Linked DNA regions of Macaca fascicularis. Each later gene encodes a partner of the first gene's protein in a complex. Links are inferred from orthologs where the notes say so. Each region holds a gene or a part of one and is shown in the gene's direction. Other genes may lie near its edges. The genes, in order: GNAI1, MTNR1B, S1PR1, LTB4R, GRM2, FFAR4 and SMO.

Region 1 (3,500 bases):
CCTGCTCCTCCACCATTCACGGCTAGGCTACATTTAATTAAACATTCACTGAAACCAAAAGGGGAGGGTTCTTTGGTAAATATAATCATGTTAATTGTTATAGCTCTTTTTGCGTACTGTGAAATTATACTTCAGTTCAAACTAATTTCACACAGTTACTTTAAAACTTTGCTTTCTTTTTGGAAGTCATAGTCCTGAATCACTGTGTTCAGGAACATTTTTTTGTGCTTATTGGAAATAAGTTATCCAGAGTCAAGATGGCTTATTTTTTCCCTTATTTGAATATATTTTTTAGTTTATTTTTATCGTATTCTATGATGTAGCCATTTTGTATTAATTCATAGTACCAGAGCCCCAAATGAATCCATAAATATTGTATAGCTACAGGGATTTCAGAACAACTAAGAATATACTTGTTAGCTCTTTCCTTGCCAAGTAGACAGTGTGTTTAGGAATTTTTGCTTGTGTTTTGCTTAATAATCCCTAACTTCAGAATCTTTGCACAAAAAGAATATTACATAATTCTTTCACATCTCCAGAGTTAAGATTATTATTTAAGATCTCCATGGCATGCCCTAAGTATTGATTCAGTTGCTTCTTGCTTCAGCCGCAACTCTCAATTTCCTATGGCTGTGGAAGAACCCTGTGTAGCCCCTAAGCAACTTGCTTGATTTATCTCCTGTCTGTCTGCTCATGTGTCATCCTTCTCCTCCTCTTCTTTTTACTGTATGTTGCCACTTTACCAGTTTCATCTGCAGTCATGTCATCTTAGCTCTCTATCCTTTCGTAGTCATAGCTATTCTCAATAGGTTAAATTTTATGGTCAGCCCTAATTTATCTCTGGAGCCTTAGATTTGCATTACCAACTGCTTGAACATACATGTTTTTTTGTTGTTTGTTTGGTTGGTTGGTTGGTTTTTTAGCACCCGAAGCTCAAACAGAACTCCTCTTCTTGTTTAAACGCAGATCTCTTCTCTTTCCTTTTTGATTCTGTCATCAGCCTCCCAGTTCTTCATTTTTGAACCTGGTTATCACCTGTGCTTACCTTTGTTCAGGATAATTCTATCTCACATTAAAAAAAAAATACCATATTTGCTCTCGTGTCCCTGCATTGCCATTCTTTTCTTAAGACTTAAAATCAGAATGAAGAATGTTCATTCATGTGTGTTGTACTTTGAGGGTAATCTAGCTAGCTGCCTAGGATATGTAGAGCAAATTGAGGTAGGCACTCAATGTAAGCTGTTTGGCTGAAATATATTTTAATTTAGCAGTTGCATTAGCTTCTGTGGGCCAACAAGATGCTGTTAATTGCTTTAAAATTTTGGAGAACGAAACTTAGGATTTAATAAAATTTGATTTTTTAAAGTATGTGATTTCTAGTGATATAAAATAGTTAAAATGTAAACTTAAAGACAATAACTTTATTACCTTTTTATCCCTAATAAAAATCTCATAATCTGTATCATAGCACATTACACAACATTCCTATGGGCATTTGTCACATTGTATTATACTGGATTCTGTAAGATATAAAAGGAGTATGGGGCTGGTGGGGTGTGATGTTTACTCTTGAGGAGTTCACATTCTAGTTTAGGAGACTCAACACTGAAAAAGAATTTAAGACTTTAAAGCAGTATAACAAAAACTGAAATAGTTATTTCTAGGAGGAGACAAAAGTTTTTAAGTGATAGAGAACCCAGCTAGATTTGATTAATTAGGAAAAGTTAGATGGAGTGCCAATTTTGAGCAAATGTGAAGGCAGGCAGAGATCTCAGCCGGTAAAGTAGAATGAAGAGGAAGTACTGCAGTACCACAGGTGGCAGTTTGCATGTTGGGTCCTCATGACATGGACCTGGGTTGAGCACCAGTGTGGAGGAGAGGATCTCAGAATGATGGCACTGCAGAGCAGGCTGGATAGTAGAAGACCTTGAAAGCCTGGCAGATAATTTTGGATGATTAATTTTTTTATTGAAGCATTACATATAGCATTACATTGTATACATTATGTATATTATGTACGTACATATGTACACACACACCCTCAGCATAAGTGCATTTTTAAAGGTGAACATACCAGTATCCACCACTCAGGTGAAGAAACCAAACAGCTTCAAGGCCCCAGAAAGTCCCATCATGCTTCCTCCCAGTCTTAACCAATCAAAACCTCCCCGCAACACACACGTACACACTCACATCCGATACACAGAGTAATCACTGATTACTCACTGATAATCACTGAAGACCTTAATAAAAGAACGGACACAAAGGAAATATATACCCACTTCACATGTGCCACAGACTCTATTAATTGGTGAGACTTTTGTCCTCACCAATTCATTTTTCAAACAGTGTTGTATCATACAGTATGTGATCTTTTTGCATCTAGCTGCTTTTGCTCAATAGTTCACTTATGAGTGAACTCAGTTATTGAGTATAGCAGTAGTACTTTCATTCTCACTTCTTCTGTGTCTTCAGTGATACACAGTTCTGTCAAGTGTATATCTAGAAACTGAATTGCGGGGTCAGAGTGTGTGTGTGATTATCTTTAGATATTGCCAAACAATTTCTGGAGTGTTTGTACTCAGAGGGAGTCTTTTTTAGTCAGTAACCTGAAAGCTGGAGTGTGTCATTCACTTTTTTTGTAACCTCATACTCCTAAACATCATTGTAGACCTTGGTACAATTTTTGAATAAAGAAAAATGAGTGAAGAATGCTAATTAATGTATATATAGAAAAGGGAGGAAAAAATACTGATCAGCATTCAGCCAACATTTTTTGATCCACCGTTGAGCCAGAACTGAAATAGCATGCCGTCATCAAGCATCTGAGTTGGGGTGTAGAGGACAGAAGATAAGAGGATAAAAGATCTAGCCTTTGGAGATTGAGGCAGGAACAAAGATCATGATGAACACGGAATGCCATGTAGAGGAAATTTTTTGTTTAATTTTAGGGATAACTTACAGTCATTAAAGGTAATTAACATGGAGTGTTTTTCATTTAGAAGAAATAGTGTCTCCCATTCTAGAAGGGAAAGCACAGTTAAGGAGTCCATGAATGAAGCTGTATGAAACTGACTTCAGTATTTTAAGCAGTTATTTTAACTTTCTACATTATATTTCTTTCCTTTTTCCATCTCAGGATCAAACACATATGAAGAGGCAGCTGCATATATTCAATGTCAGTTTGAAGACCTCAATAAAAGAAAGGACACAAAGGAAATATACACCCACTTCACATGTGCCACAGATACTAAGAATGTGCAGTTTGTTTTTGATGCTGTAACAGATGTCATCATAAAAAATAATCTAAAAGATTGTGGTCTCTTCTAAGTTTTGCAGTTAATGGTAAAATGCATTTTCAAACCAAATGAGTACTTATATATGGATCTCTGTAGACTAGAGTCTTGCAGCAACACAGAATGTAATATAAGGCAAATGCATCTGGGACCTGACCAAAGTTGTTCTGTTTTGTTTTTTTAACTGAAAGTAACAGAAGGACC
Region 2 (4,183 bases), on another chromosome or scaffold:
CACCCTCAAATGTAACCACTTTTCTGATTTCTATTAGAAAATATATTAATTTTTCCTGATTTTGGACTTCATATACTTGGAATAATATAGTACATATTTTTTGGTATCTGGCTTCTTTTGTTCAATACAACATATTTGTGATCAATTCATGCTGTTGTGTAGGTCAATCATCTTTATAGCTGAGAGGTATTCCATAGCAAGGTCATACCACAATTTGTTTATCCGTTCTTCTGTTGATGGAAATTGTGGGTGTTTCCAGATTTGAGCTCCTATAAACAAGGCTGCTCTGGACGTTCTTGTGCACGTCTTTTTGTGGAAATATTTTTCCTTTTCATTTGGAACTTCTGGTCATAGAATAGGTGTATGTTTAACTTTATTAGGAGCTAACAGACAGCTCTTCAAAGTGGTTGTACCATTTTGCATTCTCATAAAAGCACTGTATGAGAGTTCTGGTTGCTTAACTTCCTCCACAAATTTAGGATAATCAGTCATTTTGATTTTAGTGATTCTAGTGGGTGTGAAAAGTGCTTAGGACAAACTTGGCATAAGATTATCCCCCAAGAGAAGTTATCTATTATTATTATCACCAGATCACGACTCAAGCACTTTTAATAAAGGGCACCCGAGTTCCTTCTTTATTGTAATCATGCCTCACTCGTTTTCTTGTCCTAACCCCTCCAAAAACCACATCACAACCCCCAATATTGGCCATACATCTATTTAAGTATTATGTGTAAATATATATTGGTAAATATACTAAAATATTGGCTTTATAAAGAGGACCAAGTAGAGACATCACTAATGTCCCCCGCAATACCCAGCGAGTGCTCGGAAAATGGCTAGGTTCCTATTTTTCTGCAGCTCCCTAGAATACAAGTCTACACTACTATGTTCTGGGCTCTGTCCCCACATCTTAGGAGCTGCATTCTCTTTCGAGCTGCACAGCCCTGTGGGACCTCAAACCTTGCCTTGCTTAACAACTGATGGGAGGTCCCGACCATCAGCACCTTCTCCAGTCTATAAACCTGGGTTGGATGTTCCTAGCTGGACACAGCTTCTCTTGGGGACGCTGTAGAGGAAATCGGGGTCTCGGGTGTAGTTGTGTACCGAGGAACAGAGGCTAGACGCGCTCCGCGGCCTGAGATGAGCTAGGCACGTGCTGGGGGCGGGGTGGCAGAGACAGCTGTGTGGTCCCAGCTGTTCCTGAGCGCACCGCTGAGAGACGCACTCCTTTCTGCAACGGTTGCACCCCAAGTCCTCCTCCCATTCCTATATTTTTCTCCATCCCCTGCCCACGCTTAATTAGTTATCTCCTCCAGACCCCTCCCCACTGGCCTCCTCCCTTGCACACGGGAGCTGGGTAGGGAAGGGAGCGCCCGGCTCAGTACTGCGCGAGCCCTGCGGCTGTCCGAGGCCGCGCGGTGGCCAAAGCGCAGCGCGGGAGAGTCTGCAATGTCAGATAACGGCTCTTTCGCCAATTGCTGCGAAGCCGGCGGGTGGGCAGTGCGCCCAGGCTGGTTGGGTACTGGCAGGGGGCAACCCTCCAGGACCCCTCGACCTCCTTGGGTGGCTCCCGCGCTATCCGTGGTGCTCATCGTCACCACCGCCGTGGACGTTGTGGGCAACCTCCTGGTGATCCTTTCCGTGCTCAGGAACCGCAAGCTCCGAAACGCAGGTGAGCACCATTCCTGATGCTGGGTGCTGGGGTCGGGCCCTTCCTTGTCCTCTGGTCTTGTCCCTGACCCGGGGATATGCGCTGCCTTTTCCCTCCTCAGCCCGGGCTCCCCTTTCCCTTCACTCTAACCTAGTCCCTAAGTTTGACTCTGCACTCAAAAGTTAGGGTGAGTTCTGCCCCTCCGAAATGCGACTGCCCAGGATGCACTTGGCACAGAGGGAATTACGGAAAGTTTTACTGGCGCGCTTTTTGGCGCTGTGGGAACCCACGCTGCTGGATGCCATCGCTACCCGTCGCGCTCCAATGTGTGCCTTTCCAGAGGTGCCCACATCAGGCCACAGAACACCACTTGTGCTTGACACCCCACTTCCTTCCTTGCCAAGCACTGTAGCTTTATGTAGTAGTTGCTTAGAAAATCCTTGCTGAAAAAATGAGTTAATCAATGGAAGCATTTCAGTAGGTTTTGTGTCAAAAACTTATCTCCAGGTCATCTGAAGACCCAATTCCAGTGGACAGAGTGTAAATGCAGAAATTGCAGATTCTGCTTGGACTGCACTAAATTGCTTTGAAATATTGTAGTCTTTTCTGAAGACTGGGAATTCCTGGGATTAACTGTGAAAATTAAAGCAATGGCTTGGCTAAATCGTGTTGCAAACCTGAAAATATTTCTCCTATTTCAATTCACTCTCGTTTCAATATTCCCCTAGTCAGGTCTTCAAAGAAAGAAAACCAGAGTGCGGGAGGAGGGGTCGGTGTCTGAACTCTCACCCTCACAGGTCATGGGGCATGCTGACCATTTCAGCCTAGGAGGGAGCTCGGTGACCTGTTAATTTTGCAGTCTCTCAAGTTGGGCCTTGGGGGCAAATTCAAATATTAGAGTGAATTAAAATGGAAAGATAGCAGCAGAAAAACAATTGTATAGCTTAAAAATGCTTTTTTAAGGAGTCAGACCATTTTTAGCAAATGGTAATATCTATTTGGTGTGGTCTGTGACTCTAGGATTTTTTCTTTTTTTCTTTTTTTTTTTTTTTGAGATGGAGTCTCTCGCTCTGTCACCCAGGCTGGAGTGCAGTGGCACAGTCTAGGCTCACTGCAACCTCCGTTTCCCAGGTTCAGGGGATTCTCCTGCCTCAGGGTCATGAGCAGCTGAGATTACAGGTGTGTGCCACTACACCCGGGTAATTTTTTATGTTTTTGGTAGAGACAGGGTTTCACCATGTTGGCCAGGCTGGTCTCAAACTCCTGACCTAAATCAAGTGATCCACCCGCCTCAGCCTCCCAAAGAGCTGGGATTACAGGCATGAGCCACCGCGTCCGGCTGACTCTAGGATTTTTATCTAAAAAAACAAACAAGAAACTGCTCCAACGGTGAGTATCCAGCCATCAAATGGGAAACATAACATTATGAAGAAGAAGTAAGCTTTCTAACTCAGCCACTTCGGTAGTGGTGGCTGTTTTCTGGAATACATTGTTCAAAATATTGTGTCCTTTGAAGAAAAGCTTATATATTAGGGAAGAACAGGTTATGATTAGAAAACTGCATTTAATATTTTTGAGACATTGTCCCTTGCAGCCATCATAAACATTCATTCCCTGAACAGGGAGGCAAAAGGGAGACAACTCCTGGCTCTGTGGGGGAGAAATCGGCCCTCCTGGTTCTGACATTGGCCCCTTCTGTCCCTGACTTATTGAGTATTTAGAGCAGGTCTGTCAGGCCGTGGCTCCCTACTCAGTAATTTGGATTGCCCACCGTGAGAAAGGTGGTTGAGGGAAGTAGGAGTTGCTTCCTTCTGCTGGAAGGAGAAAAGCACCCCTCCCCCACTGCCTCCTACAAAGGGCTGGGCTTTTCTGTGATCCTGGCAGGGTCTACAGAATCCTTCCCAATTTGAGAGCGTCACTGGGGAGGGTCATGAGCATGTTCAATTGCTGGCATATCCTCTCTTCTATCTTTCCTACCTCCCGATGTGTCTGCTACAGCCCAGCACCGGAAAAATAAATAAATAAATAACACTATATCTAAATGACATCAATTCCTGCCACTGCTACAGTGTTGCAATTTAACCAGTTCTTATGTGACCACTGGCTTTATTGGTGATAGTCACAAACAATTGTAGTACTGACTTGAACTAAATGATCTCAGCAGAGTGAGATTTCAAAAGGTACTTAAAACCTACAGCACCCATTCTACTCTTAATCAGGCCTTGTCTTACTGAAGAGTTTGGATTTACTTTAAGAAACGTTTCTTCAGTCCTTTCCATACTGAAGTCTGGCTCCTTAAATCATTGGTATTAATAACTTAAGTCTGTGACAATGAGAATACATATATTTCCGATAACCAAGATGCAGAGCCCATATTGAGATCACAGCATGTTTCCCAGGAGACACCAGTATCCTTTACTTGCCTATCACAAACCCATCCCCTGCGGAGCAGCTCTGTATCATCCCTAACAGTGTCGCTCCTGATGGCAGGGTGAGTGGTTACATTAATTGTCCTTTTTTTCAGGGATA
Region 3 (4,082 bases), on another chromosome or scaffold:
AGAAGTCAGGGGTCTGTTGTTTATTCATTCTGCCTCCTTCTGAGTCATTCAGGTACAGGGTGTGTCTGCCAATTGAAACTGCACAGCGGAGGAAGTTTTTGAGTTCACATCTGCCGGGATGGGAAAGCAGTGCGACCAGGGACTGGGTGGAAACCTTTACAACAGTAGGGCAAGGGCAGAAGCCTCCTGAGCTTGTCACGCAGGCAGATCTGACCAAGGCCGCCTCTCAGCCTCACGTTCTTAAGTAGCATCTAAGCAAAAGAAAAGGGTGGGCAGGTTGCTAGTAATGAGATTTGAGGCCTCTGAGTCGACTCTCAAGCAGAAAGTGAGAGAAGGGTGCCGGCCCCTGCTGGGCAGCTGCAGTTGCTCCGCATCGCGGGGCCGAGAATCTTCCCCTTCGGAAATTCCGGAGCTGCCCAGGCGTTTTGAATCTCTCAGGACTCGGCAGCAGCCCACCTCCTCAACGACCTCTCCATTGGCCAGAATCTGGGACACACAGTCTGACTTTGCGCTCAGCTGAGGGAAACCCCTTGCCCAACACCAAAACCGGCGCTGGTTCATTTCTCTGTGCACTCCGGGAAATCCACTGCCCTCTCAGACCGCAGTTTCGAGGAGCACCAGGATCTGGGGTGGCGCGGGGAGAACAGGAACCTCCCGGTCCATTCTCCCTCCCGGGCTGCTTGTTTCCTCTGTACTTCTCGCAGCCCCTTCCCAGCGTCTCCTCCCCAGAGCGCCGCCGAGACTCGCCGGGCCGCGGCTCTGGTTTTCTGCTGCCCGCGTGAAAGTGGCTCGGGGAGCTCCTGGTCACAAGCTAAGCACACCGATCCTCCTAGGGCTGCGGGGGGTGTGGGACCAGGGCGGTGCGCTACGAGACTCCGGGCCGTCCTCTGCCCCTTCAGACTTTTCGAGAGAAAAGTTTCCCAAGTCTCTCCACCTCCTTTTTTTTCAGGGGCTCGGGAGAATCCTCTCCACCGCCAGGGATCAGCGTGCATCTGGGCGAGGGCAGTGATTTATACATTAGAATCCAGGGGTTACCGGGCTCCGCCCCTTCTCTCTCTCTCTCTCTCTCTCTCTTTTTTCTTTCATTTGTTGTTTGCGGAGGAGGAGTTCTTTTTTTTTTTTTTTTTTTTTTTTTTTTTGCTTCTGCCCCAGATCTTTCCTGGACAGTGCTTCTCAGCAGTTCAGATCCGGGGGCCCCTAGCTGGCAGAGGGCGTGGGGGGTTAAGGCATTAACCCCTCCCAGCGTCTTCCTGAAGAAACCACCCAGCCTTGGCGCGGCGCTGGGTGACTTCGCGTAGCAGGCAGGGAACTGGCCGCGGCGAGCGGGACTGGCCATTGGAGTGCTCCGCTGCGGAGGGAGGGGACCCCGACTCGAGTAAGTTTGCGAGAGCACTACGCAGTCAGTCGGGGGCAGCAGCAAGATGCGGAGCGAGCCGTACAGATCCCGGGCTCTCCGAACGCAACTTCGCCCTGCTTGAGCGAGGTAGGGGGCGGCGAGTGGCGGGGGACTGCGGGCGCGGGGAGCCCGGCTGTGGTAGGGCTTAGGTGTCAGAAACGAATTTTTAAGCCGAACGAGGCAAACAAAAACTTTGAAAACATGCATCTCTGGGCGCTGAAAATTTGCATCTGTGGGCTACTAAGGAGCCCAACTCGATCGGATTTTTCTTGGGTACTTGTGATTTACGGAGTTTGGAAAAAAAGGTTAATTCCCAACTGTGGAACCTATGGGGGTAGGGGCAGTGAAAGCTGCGGTTGGTCGGAGGAGTAGTAGGGAAGGTGCTAAATTTTGGAAATCCTATAGACAAAGAATATGGTGGGTGGTGTGGGGCGTAGGTAATGGCTTAAACTAGTACTGCCCAGGAGCAGGGTATAAAATTAGTTGGGGGAAATGTGGAGCTTCTTGGCTTGAGCAGCCTCTGCTGTTCGCGGAGTTGCTGGGATTGCTCTCATCTCTATTACCTCATTTTATTGCACTGCTGAATTACCTTGAAATATTTAAGCAACTTAGAAGTAGACTTCTGCTGACCAGTGCGGTCTTAGAAAGTTAGTTTGTTTGTAACTTTCTAGTCCTAGGAGAGGAGTCAACGTGTTGGGGGACGGCAGTAAATAAAACTGCCCACGCAAATTTAGCAATGCACCAGGGAGCAGTTTAATGTGAGTTTCTGAAGAGTAGTTTTGCGCTCGAAATTAAAAATGTGGTAGCATGTATTATTGCTGTCATGAGTAGTTTGATTTCTCTCTTTTGTGTATGTTTTGGCTAAACTAAACAAAGCAAAAAATATTTATGCGATCAACTAGTGTACGAAACTTCTGGGATTTGCTGCAATCTGTTATGAATGGTTTTAACTGAATACCTTTAAATTTACTTGCCCTGGCTTGGGGGCGGTTGGGCGGGGGAGGCGGGGAGAAGAAGAAGAAGAAGAAAGAAAAGGCAGTCGCTTCACGGAGGCGCTAAGCTTTCCTGTTTACTGCAAGGCGGGGCGGGCCTGGCTGCCCACACCTCACTGCGCCCTCCGACCCTAGGCACACCTGCTCCTAGAGAGTTATTAATAGAGCCCCCAAATGACTTACGCTTTCAAGTGATTTTCCTGCAAATCTGATTTCTTGCATGGCAATTAGGAGGTGGTGCTCGTCTCTTTGAACAGGGGAGCTAGGGGTGGGCATGGGGAACAGAGGTGTGTGTCTCTACCCTCAGACTGGCAGTCTAGTCTTTTCCGAGGAGAGACGTGGGCTGGTGTTGAGCGTGCAGCTGAGCTGGTGACTGCTTCAGACAATTTCATGGCTGGAAATACGGGGGTGGGAGGGTGGGGGGTGGCGAGAGGGCAGGAGTGGGGTTAAAATGGGGTGTGCTCTCTAGGTTTCCCATTCCCCCCACTCCTTGTTTTCCATCTTCTTTTTTGTTTGTTTGTTTTTGTTTTTGTTTTGGTCAACCCACAGCCAACATCATAATTCCCACTTCTCTTTGAGTGAATGTGGCCATAGAGTTTCTCCCTCTTTTTCTTCCCCCTCTTCCTTTTTTGGAAAAAAAAAAAAAAAAAGGGAAGAAAAAAAGATTTTTTTTTTTTTTTTAATCTCTCTGGGCGCTGAAAATTTGCATCTCTGGGCTACTAAGGAGCCCAACTCAATCAGATTGTTCTTGGGCACTTGTGATTTATGGAGTTTGGAAAAAAGGTGAATTCCCAATTGTGGAACCTACAGGAGTAGGAGCAGTGATTTTTTAAAAAAATTCTCTCTCCCTGAGCTCTTCCCAAGTTTCTTTAAAACAAATCAACAGTAACACAATTGGAGCAGTGCCTTAGCTAGAATGAATTATGCCAGTATGCTGTGGCTCTTTCCCTGACTCTCTCCTCTGACTTGTTTAAGGCTGCGGTTTCCGAGGCCCTCTCCAGCCAAGGAAAAGCTACACAAAAAGCCTGGATCACTCATCGAACCACCCCTGCAGCCAGTGAAGGCTCTCTCGCCCTGCCCTCTAGCGTTCGTCTGGAGTAACGCCACCCCGACTTCCTGGGGACACAGGGTTGGCACCATGGGGTCCACCAGCGTCCCGCTGGTCAAGGCCCTCCGCAGCTCGGTCTCTGACTACGTCAACTATGATATTATTGTCCGGCATTACAACTACACGGGAAAGCTGAATACCAGCGCGGACAGGGAGAACAGCATTAAACTGACCTCGGTGGTGTTCATTCTTATCTGCTGCTTTATCATCCTCGAGAACATCTTTGTCTTGCTGACTATTTGGAAAACCAAGAAATTCCACCGACCCATGTACTATTTTATTGGCAATCTGGCCCTCTCAGACCTGTTGGCAGGAGTGGCCTACACAGCTAACCTGCTCTTGTCTGGGGCCACCACCTACAAGCTCACTCCCGCCCAGTGGTTTCTGCGGGAAGGGAGTATGTTTGTGGCCCTGTCAGCCTCCGTGTTCAGTCTCCTCGCCATCGCCATTGAGCGCTATATCACGATGCTGAAAATGAAACTCCACAACGGGAGCAATAACTTCCGCCTCTTCCTGCTGATCAGCGCCTGCTGGGTCATCTCCCTCATCCTGGGTGGCCTGCCCATCATGGGCTGGAACTGCATCA
Region 4 (4,128 bases), on another chromosome or scaffold:
TGTACTATGGACTGATGGAGGAGGAGGGGGCAGTGCCTGCAGAGCACCAGGTGAGGTAGAGGAGAGGCCAAGCCAGTGACTAATTGGGAGCCAGGCCTCCTAGGGTTTAGCAAGCCTCTGACTTCTGAGGTGAGAGTGGTGACTTCATCCAGGTGGAGGTGGCAGTGTTCTGGGGATGGGCTCATCCACCTGGCTTGTTGGTGCCTCCTAATTTCCTATCTCTGCGCTCCCAGGTGGAAATGGCAGCAGCCAGGGCCTTGGGGGACGTAACAGTCCTTGGGTCTCTACTGCTCCAGCATCTGCTGCACTTCTCCACTCCTGGTCTTGTACTTCGAAGTCTGGGTGCCTTGACGGGACCACAACTTCTGGTCCTGGCCCAAAGTCCTGCTGGCTCTCATGTGCTCGATGCCATCCTGACCAGCCCTTCTGTGACGCGCAAGCAGCGCCGCCGTGTGCTGCAGAACCTAAAGGTTAGATTTCTGGCTTCTGCCTTGATTCCCCACCATCATCCATTTAGAGAATATGAGCTTTCTCAGGACTGTACCTTCAGACTCCAAAAGGCTATGTAATTACTAGACTATTTTAATTCAGCCCCTAAACTCTTCAGAAAATTCACTCCCCGCAAGCCCCCAAAATACACTTTTGTGGACTTTGCTAGGGAGACCTACTTTGCTTGTCTCAATACAGGGACAATATGTGGCTCTGGCCTGTAGTCGCCATGGCAGCCGTGTGCTAGATGCCATCTGGAGTGGAGCAGCCTTGGGGGCTCGGAAAGAAATTGCTGCTGAGCTGGGTGAGTACCAGCCCCTCTCTTTGATGTTTCCAGACTTCCCTTCTCTTACTCCAGATCACTGGGTGGCTGGGAAGTCTACTGAAATTCAACAGTCTTTAGTTCCAAAGGGTGGTCTTGCTCATGGGTTCTTAGCAGTCTGCTTTCCCCTTCCCTCCCGCTGACTAATTGTGCAGTCCTCTGCCCTCACCCCTCCCTCTGACTTCTGTTCTTTGGAAAGTGAAGTGTTCACTGTACCCCAGTGGCAGGGTCTGGGGGAAATGGAGGGACCTTTACCTCAGGTAGAGTCTGTCTTTGAGCATGGTGGTACTAAACATGAGTGGTTCCCTTTGCAGGGGAGCAGAACCAGCAGCTGATAAGAGACCCTTTCGGCCACCATGTGGCTCGAAATGTGGCCTTGACTACCTTCTTAAAGCGACGAGAGGCTTGGGAACAGCAGCAGGGTGCGGTGGCCAAGCGGAGGCGGGCATTGAACTCCATACTTGAAGACTGAGGCTTTGGATCTGGGACTGCGTGTTGATGGGGGAGGGCAAAAGGGGGTATCCACCCCATCTCTTTCCTGGTTTAAATTGGAGTCAAAAGTCGTAGTGGTAAATATTTTATATTTTTATTGGAAATGTTTTTGTTAGTTTGTGGTGAAGGATATGAAGACATCTCAGGGTAAAGTCAGAGGGCTGTCATCAGTGTGCTGGGGAGTTTAGGGACAGGAGGCATTGGTAGGGGTTAGATGTAGCAGCAATCAGGCTGGGATCAAGATGCCTGGGGGACAGGCTTGTGGCCTTTCAGGGCAAGTGGGAGGCCAGAAAGGTGGCTAGGAAGGGACAGCATTCTTCAGGTAAAGGTACAGACTTGGGATGTGAGGCATTATGCTGAAAGGTTCTCTGACAAGCGGATCAGAGGACAATGGGGAAATTGGGTGAGTTATCTAGCCTGTACTGTCTGCAGGTCCTGAAATTTGATGCTGTCATAGTCTTTGCAGTGTGTCTCTTGGAATGATTCTGGGGGCAGAAGCTCAGAGCCCCTTCTTAGTAGGAATGGAGGCGGCCCTTTTGCTGCCACTGCTCAGCCCCCTCCACTACATGACGAAGGGTGGAGGAAATTCCCAGCAACATATGGCCCAGGCCTTGCAGCAGTGTGGAGGTCCAACGAAGGAGCTCCCTGAAGGGCAGAGATAAGAGGAAATCAGATGATTTGGGAAACCTGGGAGGAAGCCATCAAGCCGGGAGATGAGGATTTTCCACAAGCAAGAGCTAACTAGGGGTAGGTGGGTGCAGGAGGAGGAATTATGGGGACTATCCAACTGTAGGGGATGGGGAAGTATGACATGTTGATTTCTGACCTGAGTACTTTCTTTGGGCCGAGTCCTTGAAAGTCACAACTCATAGAGTAGAGCCCGTAGAATGTGGCTTTGACATTCAGGCTGCCAAAGAGGTCTCGAGGGTTTTGCTTGTACACGTCAAAGGTGATGCGGGCGATGTCCTTGCTGTGCTTGGGCCTCTCCCGTCCCAGGCCATATGACAGCACTCCACTCTGTAGGACACCCTTGTCAGTGCAGTATATCCTCACACCAGACACCCACCACTAATCTCCATCGGCACCGTGTCAGACTCTCCCTCGCTTAGGCTTTCTGTCCACTGTGTGACATCCTTAACAATTCTACAACTCCCCCTGCACCTGGTCCCCAGGATCAGGGTTAAGCTAGAGAGGAAGCCCGGGAAAGCTCTAAAGGACGGGCAGTGGAAGCAGCTCCAATATAGGCCTCTTACCCTTGCGGGGCTCCAGCTCTGACCAGACTCCAACACCATCAGGCACGTGTCATCCTCCAGCAGCTGGAAGAAGTCCTCACTGTCCACTGCAGTTCCATCCTCCTCTAGCACCAGGGTTAGCACTCCATTCAGCAGTAGGGTCTCCAATGCCTGCCCAATGGCAAGAAGCAAGAAGGAAGGTATCCCATGCCCCTTCCCTCTTTAGCTGCCCAACATCCATCAGTTGGCTCTAGACATTGGTCGATGTCCCACCTTGACTTTCCGGCACTTTGATACCTCCTAAAGGCTGCAGCTCTCCGTGTTCTTCAGGTTTTGGGGGATCCTAGCTAGAGGCTGAGCTTTTTCCTCTTTGCTCCTACCATGTCATTGGCATCTCCCCTTGCTCCCCTCCAAGTCACTCCTGGTTTGGAATTGGAAAGCAAGCCAGGTTCTCATGAAGTCCACCCTTCTGTCTTATCTACAATGCTGCACCTCACTTCCCACACCCTCAGAGTTCTCCAGAAGTGTTTTCAGTAATAGTGTTTAACCTTTTTGAGTCCTTACTCTGTGCCGGGTATGAGGACTTTACCTACATTATCCTCTTACTCCTTTCAACAACCCTAGGAGGTGATGTGTTATTATTGCCTTTTTATAGATGAAGAAACTGAGGTTTTGATAGGTTGAACAACTTCCCAAGGTTTGACAGCCAGGAAGTGGCAGAATCAGAATTTGAACTTGATTTGTCATACAAATTGCCTTCCATACTGGCCTCTGAATTCCATCCCTCCAACTCTCCCTATTTCCTGCTAACCCCTGCTCCCATAGAAAAGCTCACTAGGTGGAAAATGAACAAACTGACCGGAACTCATGAGGCCCACCCCACTGAGCTCTCAGTGGGAGGAGGCAGCTGTGTGACTTCAGCCCTCTCTGCTCCATCATCACAAGTTGCCAATGTTGTGGAGCCCCTTGGCTACCCCTGCTAAAGGAACCAAGGAACTTGGCCTACTTACTTTGGCTAGCAGCTCCTGGCGGGTGGCAGCTGTCAGGCCTTTCCGGATGGTCCGCTTGTGATTACAGACACGGAAAGGTCGCTGGGGTGGTGAAGCTGAGGTCCAGACCCTCCGTCCAAACTCCGAGCTTATATTAGATACTGACCTGGTAGTTGAGAAGAAAAGTCAAGAAGGGGCAAGAAGGGGCTTAGTGAGTGTAAAGGGCGTGATGGGGGTAGAGTGGCTAGAGGGCTAGGGAGGGAGAGATCTAGGTTTATAGATGGTAGGGATGAGGGAGAGACCATGGAGTACAGGTGGGGGTGGGTGGGTCAAGAGCTTGACAAGCCCACTATGGAGTGGGGAGCAGAAGAGGAAGGGGTACTGGTTAGTGTCCTAGGGGCTGAGTGGAGTATTGTTGCCCTGCTTATATCCCCTAAAGGTAGAGGGTAGAGCGGAGGGTTAGCAGTCACCTGAGTAGGTCACTGGGGTTCAGAGCTGAGAGGTACTCCATGGTGGATGGGAGAGTTCCTTCCCTGGAACTTCTGGGCTGGGTGGTTCTCTCCTGTGCTGGGGCTTTAGTGGTGTTTTCTGTTACAAACCTGGG
Region 5 (3,989 bases), on another chromosome or scaffold:
CTCTCCCATTCCTCCTGCTCCAACGTCCTCTGGTCCTTCTTTCTGTCTGTGCCTCCGTCTTTGTCTCAACCTCTCAGGCTTGCTCGCTCCCTGCCCAGATTTTGTGGCCCAGGCCCCCGGCTGCCTGACTCCGGGTTTCTGTCCCCTTCCTGCCTCTGAGCTTCTATCTGGGCCTCCCCTGTGGGAGGCTTGCGACTTGACCAGTTTTGGCCTCAGCCCCCATCTGGGTCCCTGTCCCCATCTGTGCTGGTCTTCCTCCCCGCTTCTCCCTCGCTTGCCTGGGTGAGCTGCTTCTTTCCTGATCCCCAGAGGAGCCCAGTGCCCCTGCCCTGGGGAGGGGCAAAATGGAGAGGCCCAGCCTCCGTGGCCAGCACATGGGGTCCCTGAGTTAGTTGCTGCCCTTCTTCAAACTCAGTTTCCTTTCCTGTTCTGAGGAAAGAGGTATGTCCCTCTCCCAGCCTTTCCATGCCCGTGTGATTGTGAGAGCCTTGTGGGGTGTGTGTTTGGGAAGGCAACTGGGGTACAAATGATAGGACACAGTGGGGAAGAGACAGGGAGGGGGTCTCTGAGGGCCATGGCTAGGGTGGGCAGGACCCTGAAGCTGAGGATGGGGAGATTGGAAATGGTGACTTTCTCTGCTGGGTTGGGAGTGAAGAGAAAACAGAGGCACAAAGTCTCAAACAGCGTTCTACATAGAGCTAGAGAGTCCCGCACTCTCACCCTCAGCACTGTTTGGAGACTCTGGCCCCCAACCTTGACACACACATACATGAACATCTGCTTGCCCTGTTGACTTAGGACCTTGAGCCACTTTGGTACCCTCCCTGAGGCCAGCCATTCTACCTTGCTGTCTCATTCCCAGGGCTTAGTGTCTCTATTTCTTCCTCAGTCAGGAAACTGTGGGGATGGCTTTTTAAGAACCACAGGCTAGCACCCTTGGGTGTTCACATGGGCTCCAGTCTCCCCACGGGTTGGAGACTGTCCCTTAGAGACTGTCTTTTCCTCTTCCCTGGTGGGTCCTTAGACAGCAGTTCCTTCTCTCTGGAAATTCAAGGCTCAGGATGGGGACCTCTGAGTTTGTAACTCTGACATAGTCTGTTCCAAAGGTATTGACCTCAGGATCCTGGGAGGTTTATACTGTTCTTGGACACCCTTTGATTTACAGAGGGGTCAGCATTGGCTAGGGTCTCCTGTCCTCTGCCTAGGACTTCACTGCTTGCATCCCTCCCCACTGCTGAGTTTGGTAGGTGAATAGGGCCCATCTCTCACCCAGCTGAGGCCAGGGCTGAGAGACAGGCCCAGGGGAGTCCCAGGAGCTTCTCAACCTACTTAATGACACCATCCTGTCCCTTGTTCTTGAGTACCCAGGAAAGGGGCTTGTGGGGAGGCAGAGTCAGAAGGGGCAACTGCTCTCAGGCTCCACTTTTCCTGGTCTGTTTTTCTGTCTTTCTGTATCTCTGCAGGAGCTGGGTCCCTTCGCATCTCTCTTCTTGTCTGTCCTTTCCTGGTCCCTGTTTCCTCCTCTCTTTGCCTTCGCTGCTTCTAATCTCATCCCCTGGAGACCCAGGTCTGCTGGACCCATCCATCCCCTTTGGGGCCATGGGATCACTGCTTGGGCTCCTGGCACTGCTGCTGCTGTGGGGTGCTGTGGCTGAGGGCCCAGCCAAGAAGGTGCTGACCCTGGAGGGAGACTTGGTGCTGGGTGGGCTGTTCCCAGTGCACCAGAAGGGCGGCCCAGCAGAGGACTGTGGTCCTGTCAATGAGCACCGTGGCATCCAGCGCCTGGAGGCCATGCTTTTTGCACTGGACCGCATCAACCGTGACCCACACCTGCTGCCTGGCGTGCGCCTGGGTGCGCACATCCTCGACAGCTGTTCCAAGGACACACATGCGCTGGAGCAGGCACTGGACTTTGTGCGTGCCTCACTCAGCCGTGGTGCTGATGGCTCACGCCACATCTGCCCTGACGGCTCTTACGCCACCCATGGTGATGCTCCCACTGCCATCACTGGTGTTATTGGCGGTTCCTACAGTGATGTCTCCATCCAGGTACGTGGAGGCCACCCAAATGGGGGCTAGGGAGGGAGGCCAGAGGTGGTGACCCAGAATTCCTGCTGAAAAGGGAAACTAGAAGCTTCCCTGCAGTAGCTTTTACAGAAGCTAAGAAAGTGCCCTGGTCACATAATGGCGGTCAATTTTTAGAGACTGTGCAGGAGAACATCTTACTCCTATTACTCCCACCACACACACCCTACACACCCTCACACACACACACCCTACACACACACACACACCCCCACACACACCCCCCACACCCCCACACACCCCCTACACCCCACACACACCCACACACCCCACACCCACACCCCCACACACCTACACACACACCCACACACCAACACACACCCCATACACACCCACACACACACCCACACACCAACACACACCCCACACACACCCACACACCCCACACCCACAGCCCCACACACCTACACACACACCCACACACCCCCACACACCCCATACACAACCACACCTCCATCCCCACACATACCCCCACCCACACACCCCCAACACACCCACCCACACACACCCCCACACCCACACCCCAAACACCCACACCCCCACACACACCCCCACACCCACACCCCAAACACCCACACCCCAAACACCCACACCCCCATACACACCCCTACACACCCACACCCACCCACCCACACATGCACCCCCACACACACCCACACACCCACACACACCCACACCCACACACCCCCACACACCCACACCCATACCCACACCTTCACACCCCCCACACACACCCACACCCCCGACATACCCCCACACACCCATACCCCCCACACACACCCACACCCCACACCCCCCCCACACACACACCCACACACCCCCCACACACCCATACACACCCCCACACACACCCTCTCTCACACACACACACCCTCACCCTTGATGTTAAACAACCCTGAGGGGCTTAATAGCCAGGTCTCCCCACTTACTAACTGCATGACCCTGGCACGTTATTTCTCTTTTCTGTGTCACAGTTTCTTCCTTATAAAATTGGATTCACAACACTTTTTTTTTGTTTTCTTTTTTGAGACAAGATATTGCTCTGTCTCCCAGGCTGGAGTGCAGTGGTGAGATCTCAGCCCACTGCAACCTCTGCCTCCTGAGTTCAAGCGATTTTCCTGCCTCAGCCTCCCAAGTAGCTGGCATTACAGGTGCCTGCCACCATGCCCGGCTAATTTTTGTATTTTTAGTAGAGACGAGCCTGACCTCACCATGTTGGTCAGGCTGGTCTCAAACTCCTGACTTGAGGTGATCCGCCCATCTTGGCCTCCCAAAGTGCTGGGATTAGAGGCGTGAGCCACTGTGCCCGGCCCACATACTTTCTACTTTTAGGTTTGCCATGGAAATTTAATGAGTTGATACATGCATAGTATGTATCGGGGGCCTGACAAGTCATAAGGGCACAGTTGATATTAGCTGCTATTGTTTTTAACCCATTTTATAGATGAGGAAACCAAGGCTCAGAGAGAGGTGGGCCACATTCAAGGCAGTGGTGGAGGGGAGCTGTGAAATCGGCTCTTGGCCAAGGGACTCCTGACTTGTCAGATCATCTCTGCCTGGATTGGAGAGGGGTGGCCAGATAGAATCCAGGAGTGGCCAGAGGAGAGAATCAGGGCAGAGGAGTCAGGAGGAAGATAAACAGAACGTGTCGGGGGAGGGCACCAGAGAGTCTTCAGGGGGCACAGGATTTGAGGGGGTGGGAAGGGTGGGGAGCCAGCTCCCCTGCCCTTAGCCTCCTACTTTCCCACAGGGGCCAGCAGAGGGTGCCCTGTGGTTCAGCTTCAGCAGAGGCTGCTGGCCCCGCTGAGCCCTCTGCTGCTCCCAGAGCTGTGCCCAGCTGTGATCCTCCTGTCTCTGACTGGGTCCTACCTCTCATCCAGATTCCCGCTTGCCAAGTGCCCAGC
Region 6 (4,280 bases), on another chromosome or scaffold:
TCTCGCTCCGTCACCCAGGCTGGAGTGCAGTGGCGTGATCTTGACTCACCGCAACCTCCACCTCCTGGTTTCAAGCAATTCTCCTGCCTCAGCCTCCCAAGTAGCTGGGATTACAGGTACCCACCACCACACCCAGCTAATTTTTGTATTTTTAGTAGAGACAGTGTTTCACCATGTTGGCCATGGCTGATCTGGAGCTCCTGACCTCAAGTGATCCACCCGCCTCGGCCTCCCAAAGTGCTGAGATTTCAGGCATGAGCCACTGCGCCCAGTCAGTACTTAGATTTCTTAAGATCCAGCCTTAAGAAAGACAATTAGAAGACAGAATGGGCAACTGGGAGAGGCCTGGTAATATGGCAGAGGGGAGAGGGGGTGAAGGTGTGGGTGGTAGGAGGGTGGCTGCTTGGGGAAGTGGCCACTGGATCTTAGGCCACAGGCATACTTTTCCATCTCCAGCTTCCTCATTTACAGAAAACCAGACTGCAGTGGTGTGATGGAAACACGTGGGACGGGGACAGGTGACTGACTTTCATTACTAACCAGAGGACAGCTTAGACAAGTCACTCTGGCTGGGCCTCAGTTTCCTTATCTCTAACAGGACTGGATTGCCCAGTGCTCCTCAGACTGTGGCACCTGGGGCACATTCATAGCTTGTGTGTGTATCTGGCCTTGAAATATCTGTCTTCCCGGGATGGCAAGTTTATTAAAAAATTTGGAAGGACTCACCCTTTTTACAAGAAAGCATTTTATGTCATTGTTCAGAATGCAAAATATATATGCATTTTAGTTACAATAACATTTGATAACATTTAATGAGTAATTACTGTGTGCCAAGTGTGCCAAACTCTAGGTGAGCTTCACAATAGCCTAATGAGGTATTATTATTCCCATTTTATAGATTAAAAATCTGGGGTAGAGGGAGTAGATAATCCACCTAAAGATCTGTTATTAAGTAGTGATAAAAGATCTCCACTACCTCTCTCCCCCACAAAAAATATGGACTCATTACAAGTTGCTTTAGGATCTACCTCCAGACCCATGGAGTTTCTTTAGTAAAATCTGAACGACACAGGCCAAAATAATCTCCAAAGGCCAGCTCTGACACTTTTAAATCAATTTTAGCTAAATCCGTTCACAAAAGGCTTCGCACATCCAGTGTCCCTGAAGGATGAAGGAGGTTAGGCAGGCCCTGCGGGGGCTCGAGGAATTCGCTAAGTGAGTTTTCTGGCTTCTGAGTACACTTTAAAATGGCCAGAGGGCGCGAGGCTTCCGGCTAGGCCGCCACCTCCCCGCCCAGCTGTGGTGTTTGCAGCCAGTGTTGTCGGGCACTTCCTCGTTCCCGCGCGCCCCGGGCGCAGCTCCCTGCACCCAGCGCTAGCGCTCCTCAGAAGGGAGGGGGCCAGAGGTGAGATTTCGCAACCGCCTCCCTCCCTCTTTCCCCGCCTTGGCACTCAGTAGTCTCCCAGATGAGCACTCTCTCAGACCGCTGCGGGCCGCCAGGCGCCGGGAATGTCCCCTGAATGCGCGCGGGCAGCGGGCGACGCGCCCTTGCGCAGCCTGGAGCAAGCCAACCGCACCCGCTTCTCCTTCTTCTCCGACGTCAAGGGCGACCACCGGCTACTGCTGGCCGCAGTGGAGACAACCGTGCTGGCGCTCATCTTTGCAGTGTCGCTGCTGGGCAACGTGTGCGCCCTGGTGCTGGTGGCGCGCCGACGACGCCGCGGCACGACTGCCTGCCTGGTGCTCAACCTCTTCTGCGCCGACCTGCTCTTCATCAGTGCGATCCCTCTGGTGCTGGCCGTGCGCTGGACCGAGGCATGGCTGCTGGGCCCCGTTGCCTGCCACCTGCTCTTCTACTTGATGACCCTGAGCGGCAGCGTCACCATCCTCACGCTGGCCGCGGTCAGCCTAGAGCGCATGGTGTGCATCGTGCACCTGCAGCGCGGCGTGCGGGGTCCTGGGCGGCGGGCGCGGGCAGTGCTGCTGACGCTCATCTGGGGCTACTCGGCGGTCGCCGCTCTGCCTCTCTGCGTCTTCTTCCGAGTCGTCCCGCAACGGCTCCCCGGCGCCGACCAGGTGAGCGCCCCTCTGTGCGTGCCGGGCAGGTGTCCTGCGCAGGCTGGGAAGCGGGGCCCCGACGGGAGCTGGGATAAGGATGATCAACAACAATAGCCATTTAGTGCACTTAATCGTTGTGCCAAACCTTGTGCCCATCTCTGTGAAGTTTAATCTCTTAAATCTCACTACAACGCTGTGCACACGCCCTCCTAAATGATGAAAGTGGAGTCCCCCAAATTCTTGCAAAATGCAATGACTGTTCCGAGGTTAATTAACGAGTAGTTTAGGAGCGAGATGGAACTTTGGGGGTGCAGGGTGGCCAATCACTTTGTATTGAATCATGATTCCTCGCCAGGTGTTACAATACTGTTATTATCACGCCCATTTCACAGATGAGAAGCAGAGGCACACCGAAGTGTATAATAACTTGCTCAGAGTATTTTACCCGTAATTCGAGGAGGAGTTGGGCTCCTTCCAGAAGTTTATCGGTAATTCAAGGAGCAGTTGGGCTCCTGTCCAGGGTTGGGTTATGGTCCTGCTTTGAAAGCGCGTGGGCAGGCGCGTATGACCTAGGGACCCCAGATGCAATGCTGTCTTTAGGGGACTTGTGACGGAATTCCCTTCCGGGGTCTTCAGTATATTTCAGCTGCACAACGGAAGGATTACACTAGACCTTCAAGGTGTCCTGGGCGCCTGAAATGTGCAGATTACAAAGGCTGGGCCGACGAGCTCTGTTTTGCGTAGCGGGTCCATAGTTGTCATTATTAGGTCATGGGGGGGGGGGGGCGGTGGGAGTGACCACCATCTGAATAAGGTTCTGTGGATAGTGCAGGACATTGGATCGGGTCCCCTCGAGTCCCGCGGTCCGGAATCCCGAGCTCAGGTCTTTTTCTTCTGCCGCTTTGTCCCGTGGTTGCAGGGTTCGTGCGCCGAAATCCACCCGGGAGAGTAGACTTAGACGCGGCGTCGCGGTGGAGGACAGTGGCCGCTGTCTGGCTGTCTTCCCAGTGTGTTTGGTTCTCCGTGCCTCGCGGAGAGAGATAGGGAAAGGACCTGGGTCTGTGCGCTGGGGGCTCAGCCTCCAGGAGCGTCTGCCGTGGCTGGTTCTTGGTCTCCCCTTCCCTACCGGGGTCGCTGGTTTTCCGGCCCGGAATCCCCTGCCCTTAAGCTCCCTCTCCACGTAGGACTGAGTATGGGGTGCCCTGAGTAATCGTGACACAAACAGGAATCACAGTCCCAAAGAGGGACCTTCTAAGTGGTCAGAGAGGGGAGTAGGGAGGGAGAAATTACATGTCACCAGGGGAAGACTCAGTGATGGAGATACACAGAGCCCACCAGGGACACCCCTGGGTGTGTGACCCTCCAGAGCCTGGAACAGAGAGGTGGTGCTTCTCTGGGGGTTTTCCTAGACCTGTCTCTCACACAGCCCTTTATGGAGGGGATGGGGTAGGATGGATGGAGTCTGCCTCCTGTATCCTGTGCGAGTTTTTTTTTTTAAAACATAAACTTAAAATACTTGTTTCTAATGCTTGTGTGAAATACATTGTGAGGTGTTTGTTCGTTTATGGCCTTGAATGATTAACGGGCAGGAGCCCCATTAAGCCTGTGGCACTTGATCAAATAACATGCAAGCTTGTGGCCATGTCCACTCAAGAGGGGCCCAGAGAAGCCAGGATTAGCTGAGCAGTTGGGTGCCATTTACAGGCAGACCACGGGCTGTGGCTTAGTGGGCAGGCTTGCTCTTAGCCCACACACACCTGAGAATCAAGGTGGGCCACGCAGATGCCTCTGAAAGCACGGATCAGGTGGGGGCTGGGCTTCTGCTGTCAGTTTCTTTGATTTTTTTTAAATAAGTTATTCTCTCAATGAGTTATAGTACTTGTATATTTCTCACAGAACTTGAGGTATTTCACCTCATGTTCTTTCTTACGGGAGAAAATGATGTTCAGGGAATGAAAGACCAGGTAGAATGTATCTTGAAGGTATCTTAAGTTTTCTGATGTGTATTTTGTGCCTCTCCCTTTTTTCAATGATTTCAAGTATAATCCTAATTAATTGGCAAATGACATTAAAAAATAAGACTCTTGTCACTTCCCAGCCAAAGCCCAGACTAAAATTGTGTGCTGACAGGGACACAGGCGACTGTTTGGGTGAGAAGGCCTTGGCATAGGCGAGGGCCTTCCGTGTCTTGGCCACTTAGTGCTGTACCCCTGTTAGGGAAT
Region 7 (4,243 bases), about 29 Mb from region 1:
GATTACAGGTATGAGCCACAGTGCCCAGCCTCTATGTCCTGATTCTAACTCCTCCTACTCATACTTTAGTCCTGGATTCAAAACCCACCTCCTCTACTTCTATCCACGCTGACCTCTCTCCCCTATTACTATAGCATACTCATGGTACATCTCATTTTGGCAGCTTCTTTATCAAGTGATTAATGTGTATGCTCAAGTGAACTAGATGTTTTGTGAACACAGAGAATGAGATAAGATCCCTTCCCTGGAGGAGGAAACGTTGCTGTTTTGTCATGCTATGTTTCCTGAGAGCAAGCCATGTATCCACAGGAAAATGGAAGTCTTCAGGTTCTTCCAGGGTGTCTCTGTGCCATGAACATGCTGGAATTTCAGAAAGCTTCGCTAAATTGAATTAAATTCTCTCTCTCTCTCGCTCGCTCACTTTCCAATTGATTTAGTTGAAGTGCAATAGCTAATATGCACTTAAACTGTCCAAAGTAACAGAACTAGTCCACTACCGCTAGGCCGTGAACGACTCTTCCAGGCGTAAGAAAGGAAAACCCACCCTGGTGTGCTGCCCGATTAGCAACAAGGAAAAAGTTGCTCAATGCAAGTCTACTCTCCTGGTGGGAGCCTTGTGGTTATGCTGGGTTATACTTGGTTGTGCAGGTGTAAACTGCTGCAGTGGGAAATTAAGTGTGGTGACCAAAGGCGTGATGCGCAAAGGAGTGAGGAAAGGCAAAATGAGCAGAGTGGGGAAGAGGAGTAGCAGAAACCTCCCAGAGCAGATGAGCGGCAGGGCCATCAAAGAAGGACTGGCTTCCTTCTCACATCACCAAGGCCAGTCCCTGGGAACCACAGTTCAGACTTCACATATTTGTAGCAGTAAAGGCTTGATGTTGGCAAGTTTATTTCCCAGACACCTGTTCCCGCAGGTAACAGCAGCCGGAGCAGCTGCTGTGAGTGACTCTGAGGTCATCTCTTTCAAAGGTACCGAGCTGGAAGGATTTGGAGAAGCACAAACCCCAAACCCAGGTTCTTCTCCATGGGGCCCCGGGATCAGTCGGAAAATCTAACCAAAGCAGGAAAAACTGGCGAGCCTGGAGAACGGGGCAGAGTTGGAATAGAAGTCCCCGTTGACTTCAGGCATCCCTGTCTCTCCCACCCTAAGCCAGGAGAAAAGTCCGCTTCCTGCAGACGACCTCAGACCAACCAAGGTGCCCGCCGAGTCTCTACTTGCAGGTCCGGCCCACGATTTCCACCCATCTCTTTCCCCCTGGCGCGGGGCGGCGGCAGGCGGGGTCACCAGATCCCCCTAGCCCGGGCCCCTCCGGGCGCCGGGGACGCTGACGCTTGCGCTCCTCCTCTCTCGCCTCCCCTCCCCATCTCTCCCCTCCTTCTTCGTCCAGTCCCTCCCCCAGCCTCGGCGCAGGGGGGCCGGGCTTGGCTCCGCGAGGCCCGTGCATTCCAGAGAGCCCAGCGAGCTAGAGCAACAAAGGAGCCGAGTTGTCGGCGAGGAGAGCTCGGGGGGCTGCGGCGCGCTGGGGTGAAGGTGGCTCCCGGGCCGCGGGCTGGCGCGGGGGCGGAGCCGGAGCTGCACTCGCACCCCCGGCCCGCGCCTGGCCTCCCTCGCAGGGCTGGGAGTTGGCTTTAATGGTGGGAGAGGGAATGGGGCTGGGGATTGGGGGCCCAGGGGGCTCCCAGGGCTGAAGACAACTTGGATTGCGAGGCGAGAGCTTTGGGAGTCGTGCATCCCGGTCCGGGCCTCCGCAGCCCAACATGGGCCCCAGGTTCCAAAGTTTGCGAAGTTGGGCGCCGAGGGGCCGGGGCGCGTGGAGCGTCCGGAGGGGCCCGGGCCCGGTTTCTCTGGGCGCACAGGTCGCATGAGCCGCCTCCGCGCCCGCAAGGGTCGTGCGTGTGGCCGGTGGGCTCCGAGGAGCGGGCGGGGGCGCCGGGGTTTTTGCTGAGTTGGCGGGGTTGGCCATGGCCGCTGCCCGCCCCGCGCGGGGGCCGGAGCTCCCGCTCCTGGGGCTGCTGCTACTGCTGCTGGGGGGCCCGAGCCGGGGGGCGTCCTCGAGCGGGAACGCGACCGGGCCTGGGCCGCGGAGCGCGGGCGGGAGCGCTAGGAGGAGCGCGGCGGTGACCGGCCCTCCGCCGCCACTGAGCCACTGCGGCCGGGCTGCCCCCTGCGAGCCGCTGCGCTACAACGTGTGCCTGGGCTCCGTGCTGCCCTACGGGGCCACCTCCACACTGCTGGCCGGGGACTCGGACTCCCAGGAGGAAGCGCACGGCAAGCTCGTGCTCTGGTCGGGTAAGTACTCCGGAGCCGGGTTTGGGGGGCGGGAGGTGCTACGGTAAGACGGGGGCACCCTTGGAAAGAACAGGCTCAGGCCTGAGCCTCGGAGAGGGCGGGGACAGCACCCAGGAGAGTTGGAAGGACAGAGTCCGAAACTTTGGGGGCGGGTTACGTGCAGGATGGGACCCTCGGTCATGGGAAAGGGAGGGCAAGAAAGTTGACGAAGCGGGTCACAAAGGTCCCGAGCTGGTGGGTGAGCAAAGGATGGCGGGGATGAGGGGCCCGTGAGGAGGGGGCTCTAAGCCACGGGAAAAGACATTTTGTAAGAAGAGGAGATGCTCCACCTACTCTGGAAGCAGGGTGCCAGGGGATTCAAGGAGGTGTTCAAGACCCTGGGGAAATTGGAGTTGGAGAGGAAAAGGGGAGGGATGACGGTGGAAGAGGTTTAGGCATTTGGAGGGAAGGGTAGGGGGACATGATCAAGTGAAGTTTTGAAGGAAATGAAACCTCCTTAACGATGAGTTATTAGAAAGTGACCAGAAAGTCCTGGAAATCTTGATTTGGGAGACAGGAAAGAATCCTGGAGAACTGTGATCTTGTCTGACTTTCACAGGAGATTTCATTCAGTTTGTGCATCTGAAAAACGGGCACTCTGACGCATGCAGGAGGTTATGAAGGAATAAGACCTTTCTAACGATTATTTGTGTGTTCTTTGGAAATTTGGTTACCCAGGCTGGTCAGGGCTGTGGAAGGACGCTTAAGTCTGGAGTGTTGAGAGCCTGTGGACACTTCCATGGTGGTTTGAAGTCCCAGAGCCCCCTCACTGGAGTGGCAGAGTCTGAAAAACTGCACACTGAACCCAAATGTCCTTCCTTAGCAGTGTAGAGTATACGCTCTCCCCACCTGTCACTTTTCTAGATGAGGCCTGGAGGGTGCTGGGGAAGGGAACTGGCCTTATCAGCCCTCACTTCTAGCCAGTGTGATTCTAAAACCGTTCTTGAAAAAGAAAAGAAAACCAGGAGCCAGGAGCAGAACTGGGAGCCTCCCTCTTTTGACAGGGCTGGGGTACCCCATGTCTTAGCTCTGCCCAGGGGGCTGGTGAGGACCGTAATGTAGGGAGTGTATGTAGGCCGCCTGTCATTGACAAGTTCTCAGCCTTTGTCAGATGTTGGACAAGTCCATAAGGTTCCTGGCTTGGTTCAGATGCTGGAGGAGGAACTTGGAGGATGGTATCCATGGTACCCATAAGGTGGAGCTGCATCCTTTGTGGGGATCAGGTTCTAAAGTCAGCACAGCACGTTAGACAGAAACCATGTGTAATCAACAGTGGTTTTGAAAACTCTGCAGATTACTGTAGTGTAAGGTTGATGTCGTTTTGCATATACACTCCTTTTACGACGTTTGCATAAATGTGTTACATGTATACTCATACATAACAATGGGTATACATAGAAGATAATAATTGTAATTTTAAAGTTACGTTCATGCAAAAGACTGAAAGAATAATAGTAATAAAAAGAACACCAAAGTAAGATTAAGCAAGGTTGCTTTGAGCACCACTTGAGTTTAGGAGCGAGCTGAATGGAAAGTTCAAATCTCTCAGCACTAGAATCTTACCCAGTTCTGAGTTGCTCATGCTGTCAAAGGATAATCTTTCTGTCCCTCTCTTTATTGATTTTGCAGGGACCCATGGTTTAATTTTCCCAAGTTAAATGCATGTTTGATGTTGCCTCCTTGCAGTTACCATCAGATCAAGGAGGAAGGGTATGAACCTCTTTCCAGCCCATACTCTTGAGAGCAGCTGCTGAGCAGACAGAAGTAGTTTAAGCTGGAACATGTATGAGTTAGTACCATCTGCTGGTTGTGCAGGTTGAAATCTCACTGTCTGTGCCTTTTGGCAGGGTAGGGTCCTGCAGAGACGCCAGCACTGAGCCCAGCACCATTAGTTCCATTAGTTCACTATGAGTT

Evidence for each region.
Region 2: the proteins of GNAI1 (region 1) and MTNR1B are in contact, whole or in part, in a cryo-EM structure (PDB 7VH0), measured with the Homo sapiens proteins. The link is inferred for Macaca fascicularis from reciprocal best matches to the Homo sapiens genes GNAI1 and MTNR1B. Residues at the interface, in NP_002060.4 of Homo sapiens: Arg24, Arg32, Glu318, Ile319, Tyr320, Phe334, Asp337, Ala338, Asp341, Ile344, Lys345, Asn347, Leu348, Lys349, Asp350, Cys351, Gly352, Leu353, Phe354; in NP_005950.1 of Homo sapiens: Arg138, Tyr141, Ile142, His149, Arg150, Arg154, Ile223, Val227, Ala230, Arg231, Lys233, Ala234, Lys235, Thr252, Met253, Asn312, Asn314.
Region 3: the proteins of GNAI1 (region 1) and S1PR1 are in contact, whole or in part, in a cryo-EM structure (PDB 7VIE), measured with the Homo sapiens proteins. The link is inferred for Macaca fascicularis from reciprocal best matches to the Homo sapiens genes GNAI1 and S1PR1. Residues at the interface, in NP_002060.4 of Homo sapiens: Ala31, Arg32, Glu33, Val34, Leu194, Thr219, Tyr320, Phe334, Asp337, Ala338, Thr340, Asp341, Ile343, Ile344, Lys345, Asn347, Leu348, Lys349, Asp350, Cys351, Gly352, Leu353, Phe354; in NP_001307659.1 of Homo sapiens: Arg78, Met80, Arg142, Thr145, Met146, Met149, Lys150, Leu151, His152, Asn153, Arg231, Ser232, Leu235, Thr236, Phe237, Lys250, Leu254, Thr257, Thr314, Asn315, Lys316.
Region 4: the proteins of GNAI1 (region 1) and LTB4R are in contact, whole or in part, in a cryo-EM structure (PDB 7VKT), measured with the Homo sapiens proteins. The link is inferred for Macaca fascicularis from reciprocal best matches to the Homo sapiens genes GNAI1 and LTB4R. Residues at the interface, in NP_002060.4 of Homo sapiens: Glu28, Ala31, Arg32, Leu194, Glu318, Tyr320, Thr340, Asp341, Ile343, Ile344, Lys345, Asn347, Leu348, Asp350, Cys351, Gly352, Leu353, Phe354; in NP_001137391.1 of Homo sapiens: Thr53, Asp114, Arg115, Ala118, Val119, Pro122, Phe123, Ser125, Gln126, Lys127, Arg129, Thr130, Leu208, Arg211, Arg212, Phe213, Arg215, Arg217, Arg218, Thr219, Gly289, Gly290, Gly291.
Region 5: the proteins of GNAI1 (region 1) and GRM2 are in contact, whole or in part, in a cryo-EM structure (PDB 8JD5), measured with the Homo sapiens proteins. The link is inferred for Macaca fascicularis from reciprocal best matches to the Homo sapiens genes GNAI1 and GRM2. Residues at the interface, in NP_002060.4 of Homo sapiens: Glu28, Ala31, Arg32, Glu33, Val34, Asp193, Leu194, Thr219, Asp337, Asp341, Ile343, Ile344, Lys345, Asn346, Asn347, Leu348, Asp350, Cys351, Gly352, Leu353, Phe354; in NP_000830.2 of Homo sapiens: Lys599, Ala600, Ser601, Gly602, Arg603, Arg656, Ile657, Ile660, Phe661, Ala664, Arg665, Glu666, Gly667, Ala668, Gln669, Arg670, Pro671, Ile674, Pro676, Phe756, Val826, His828, Arg829, Ala830, Pro831, Thr832.
Region 6: the proteins of GNAI1 (region 1) and FFAR4 are in contact, whole or in part, in a cryo-EM structure (PDB 8ID3), measured with the Homo sapiens proteins. The link is inferred for Macaca fascicularis from reciprocal best matches to the Homo sapiens genes GNAI1 and FFAR4. Residues at the interface, in NP_002060.4 of Homo sapiens: Ala31, Arg32, Val34, Leu194, Gln304, Glu308, Lys314, Asp315, Glu318, Ile319, Tyr320, Thr321, His322, Phe334, Asp337, Ala338, Thr340, Asp341, Ile343, Ile344, Lys345, Asn347, Leu348, Asp350, Cys351, Gly352, Leu353, Phe354; in NP_001182684.1 of Homo sapiens: Arg71, Ala73, Thr74, Arg136, Cys139, Ile140, Leu143, Gln144, Arg145, Gly146, Ile230, Ile233, Thr234, Ser237, Arg238, Arg240, Leu241, Ser244, Leu245, Ala246, Tyr247, Ser248, His251, Arg254, Gln258, Arg261, Leu262, Leu266, Leu269, Met323.
Region 7: the proteins of GNAI1 (region 1) and SMO are in contact, whole or in part, in a cryo-EM structure (PDB 6XBM), measured with the Homo sapiens proteins. The link is inferred for Macaca fascicularis from reciprocal best matches to the Homo sapiens genes GNAI1 and SMO. Residues at the interface, in NP_002060.4 of Homo sapiens: Glu28, Arg32, Glu33, Lys192, Leu194, Gln333, Phe336, Asp337, Thr340, Asp341, Ile343, Ile344, Asn347, Leu348, Lys349, Asp350, Cys351, Gly352, Leu353, Phe354; in NP_005622.1 of Homo sapiens: Arg261, Pro263, Ala264, Trp339, Ser342, Phe343, Ala345, Leu346, Gly347, Thr348, Thr349, Tyr350, Ser354, His433, Pro434, Gly435, Ser438, Lys440, Ala441, Lys444, Ile445, Glu447, Thr448, Arg451, Trp535.

The regions. Positions count from the first base shown.
Region 1 is NC_088377.1:141,212,491-141,215,990, reverse strand, and holds part of GNAI1 (guanine nucleotide-binding protein G(i) subunit alpha-1), read left to right. Parts: intron 1-3,139; coding exon 3,140-3,330; 3' UTR 3,331-3,500. UniProt on the Homo sapiens protein: Guanine nucleotide-binding proteins (G proteins) function as transducers downstream of G protein-coupled receptors (GPCRs) in numerous signaling cascades.
Region 2 is NC_088388.1:92,034,631-92,038,813, forward strand, and holds the start of MTNR1B (melatonin receptor type 1B), read left to right. Parts: upstream 1-1,383; 5' UTR 1,384-1,452; coding exon 1,453-1,675; intron 1,676-2,210; exon of another isoform or gene 2,211-4,183.
Region 3 is NC_088375.1:133,172,650-133,176,731, reverse strand, and holds the start of S1PR1 (sphingosine 1-phosphate receptor 1), read left to right. Parts: upstream 1-1,282; 5' UTR 1,283-1,375; exon of another isoform or gene 1,376-1,483; intron 1,484-3,363; 5' UTR 3,364-3,526; coding exon 3,527-4,082.
Region 4 is NC_088381.1:92,121,209-92,125,336, forward strand, and holds the start of LTB4R (leukotriene B4 receptor 1), read left to right. Parts: upstream 1-1,328; 5' UTR 1,329-1,380; exon of another isoform or gene 1,381-1,815; coding exon of another isoform or gene 1,816-1,948; exon of another isoform or gene 1,949-2,016; coding exon of another isoform or gene 2,017-2,050; exon of another isoform or gene 2,051-2,129; coding exon of another isoform or gene 2,130-2,320; exon of another isoform or gene 2,321-2,556; coding exon of another isoform or gene 2,557-2,706; exon of another isoform or gene 2,707-3,545; coding exon of another isoform or gene 3,546-3,690; exon of another isoform or gene 3,691-3,994; coding exon of another isoform or gene 3,995-4,035; exon of another isoform or gene 4,036-4,128. Other genes in the region: NOP9 (nucleolar protein 9), read left to right, coding at 1-50, 234-470, 688-793, 1,126-1,283; lipid transferase CIDEB, read right to left, coding at 1,816-1,948, 2,130-2,320, 2,557-2,706, 3,546-3,690, 3,995-4,035; LTB4R2 (leukotriene B4 receptor 2), read left to right, coding at 2,017-2,050. UniProt on the Homo sapiens protein: Receptor for extracellular ATP > UTP and ADP. The activity of this receptor is mediated by G proteins which activate a phosphatidylinositol-calcium second messenger system.
Region 5 is NC_088376.1:114,721,917-114,725,905, forward strand, and holds the start of GRM2 (metabotropic glutamate receptor 2), read left to right. Parts: upstream 1-1,189; 5' UTR 1,190-1,332; coding exon 1,333-2,049; intron 2,050-3,989. UniProt on the Homo sapiens protein: Dimeric G protein-coupled receptor which is activated by the excitatory neurotransmitter L-glutamate. Plays critical roles in modulating synaptic transmission and neuronal excitability.
Region 6 is NC_088383.1:102,332,379-102,336,658, forward strand, and holds the start of FFAR4 (free fatty acid receptor 4), read left to right. Parts: upstream 1-1,480; 5' UTR 1,481-1,509; coding exon 1,510-2,076; intron 2,077-4,280.
Region 7 is NC_088377.1:170,650,043-170,654,285, forward strand, and holds the start of SMO (protein smoothened), read left to right. Parts: upstream 1-1,443; 5' UTR 1,444-1,962; coding exon 1,963-2,290; intron 2,291-4,243. UniProt on the Homo sapiens protein: G protein-coupled receptor which associates with the patched protein (PTCH) to transduce hedgehog protein signaling. Binding of sonic hedgehog (SHH) to its receptor patched prevents inhibition of smoothened (SMO) by patched.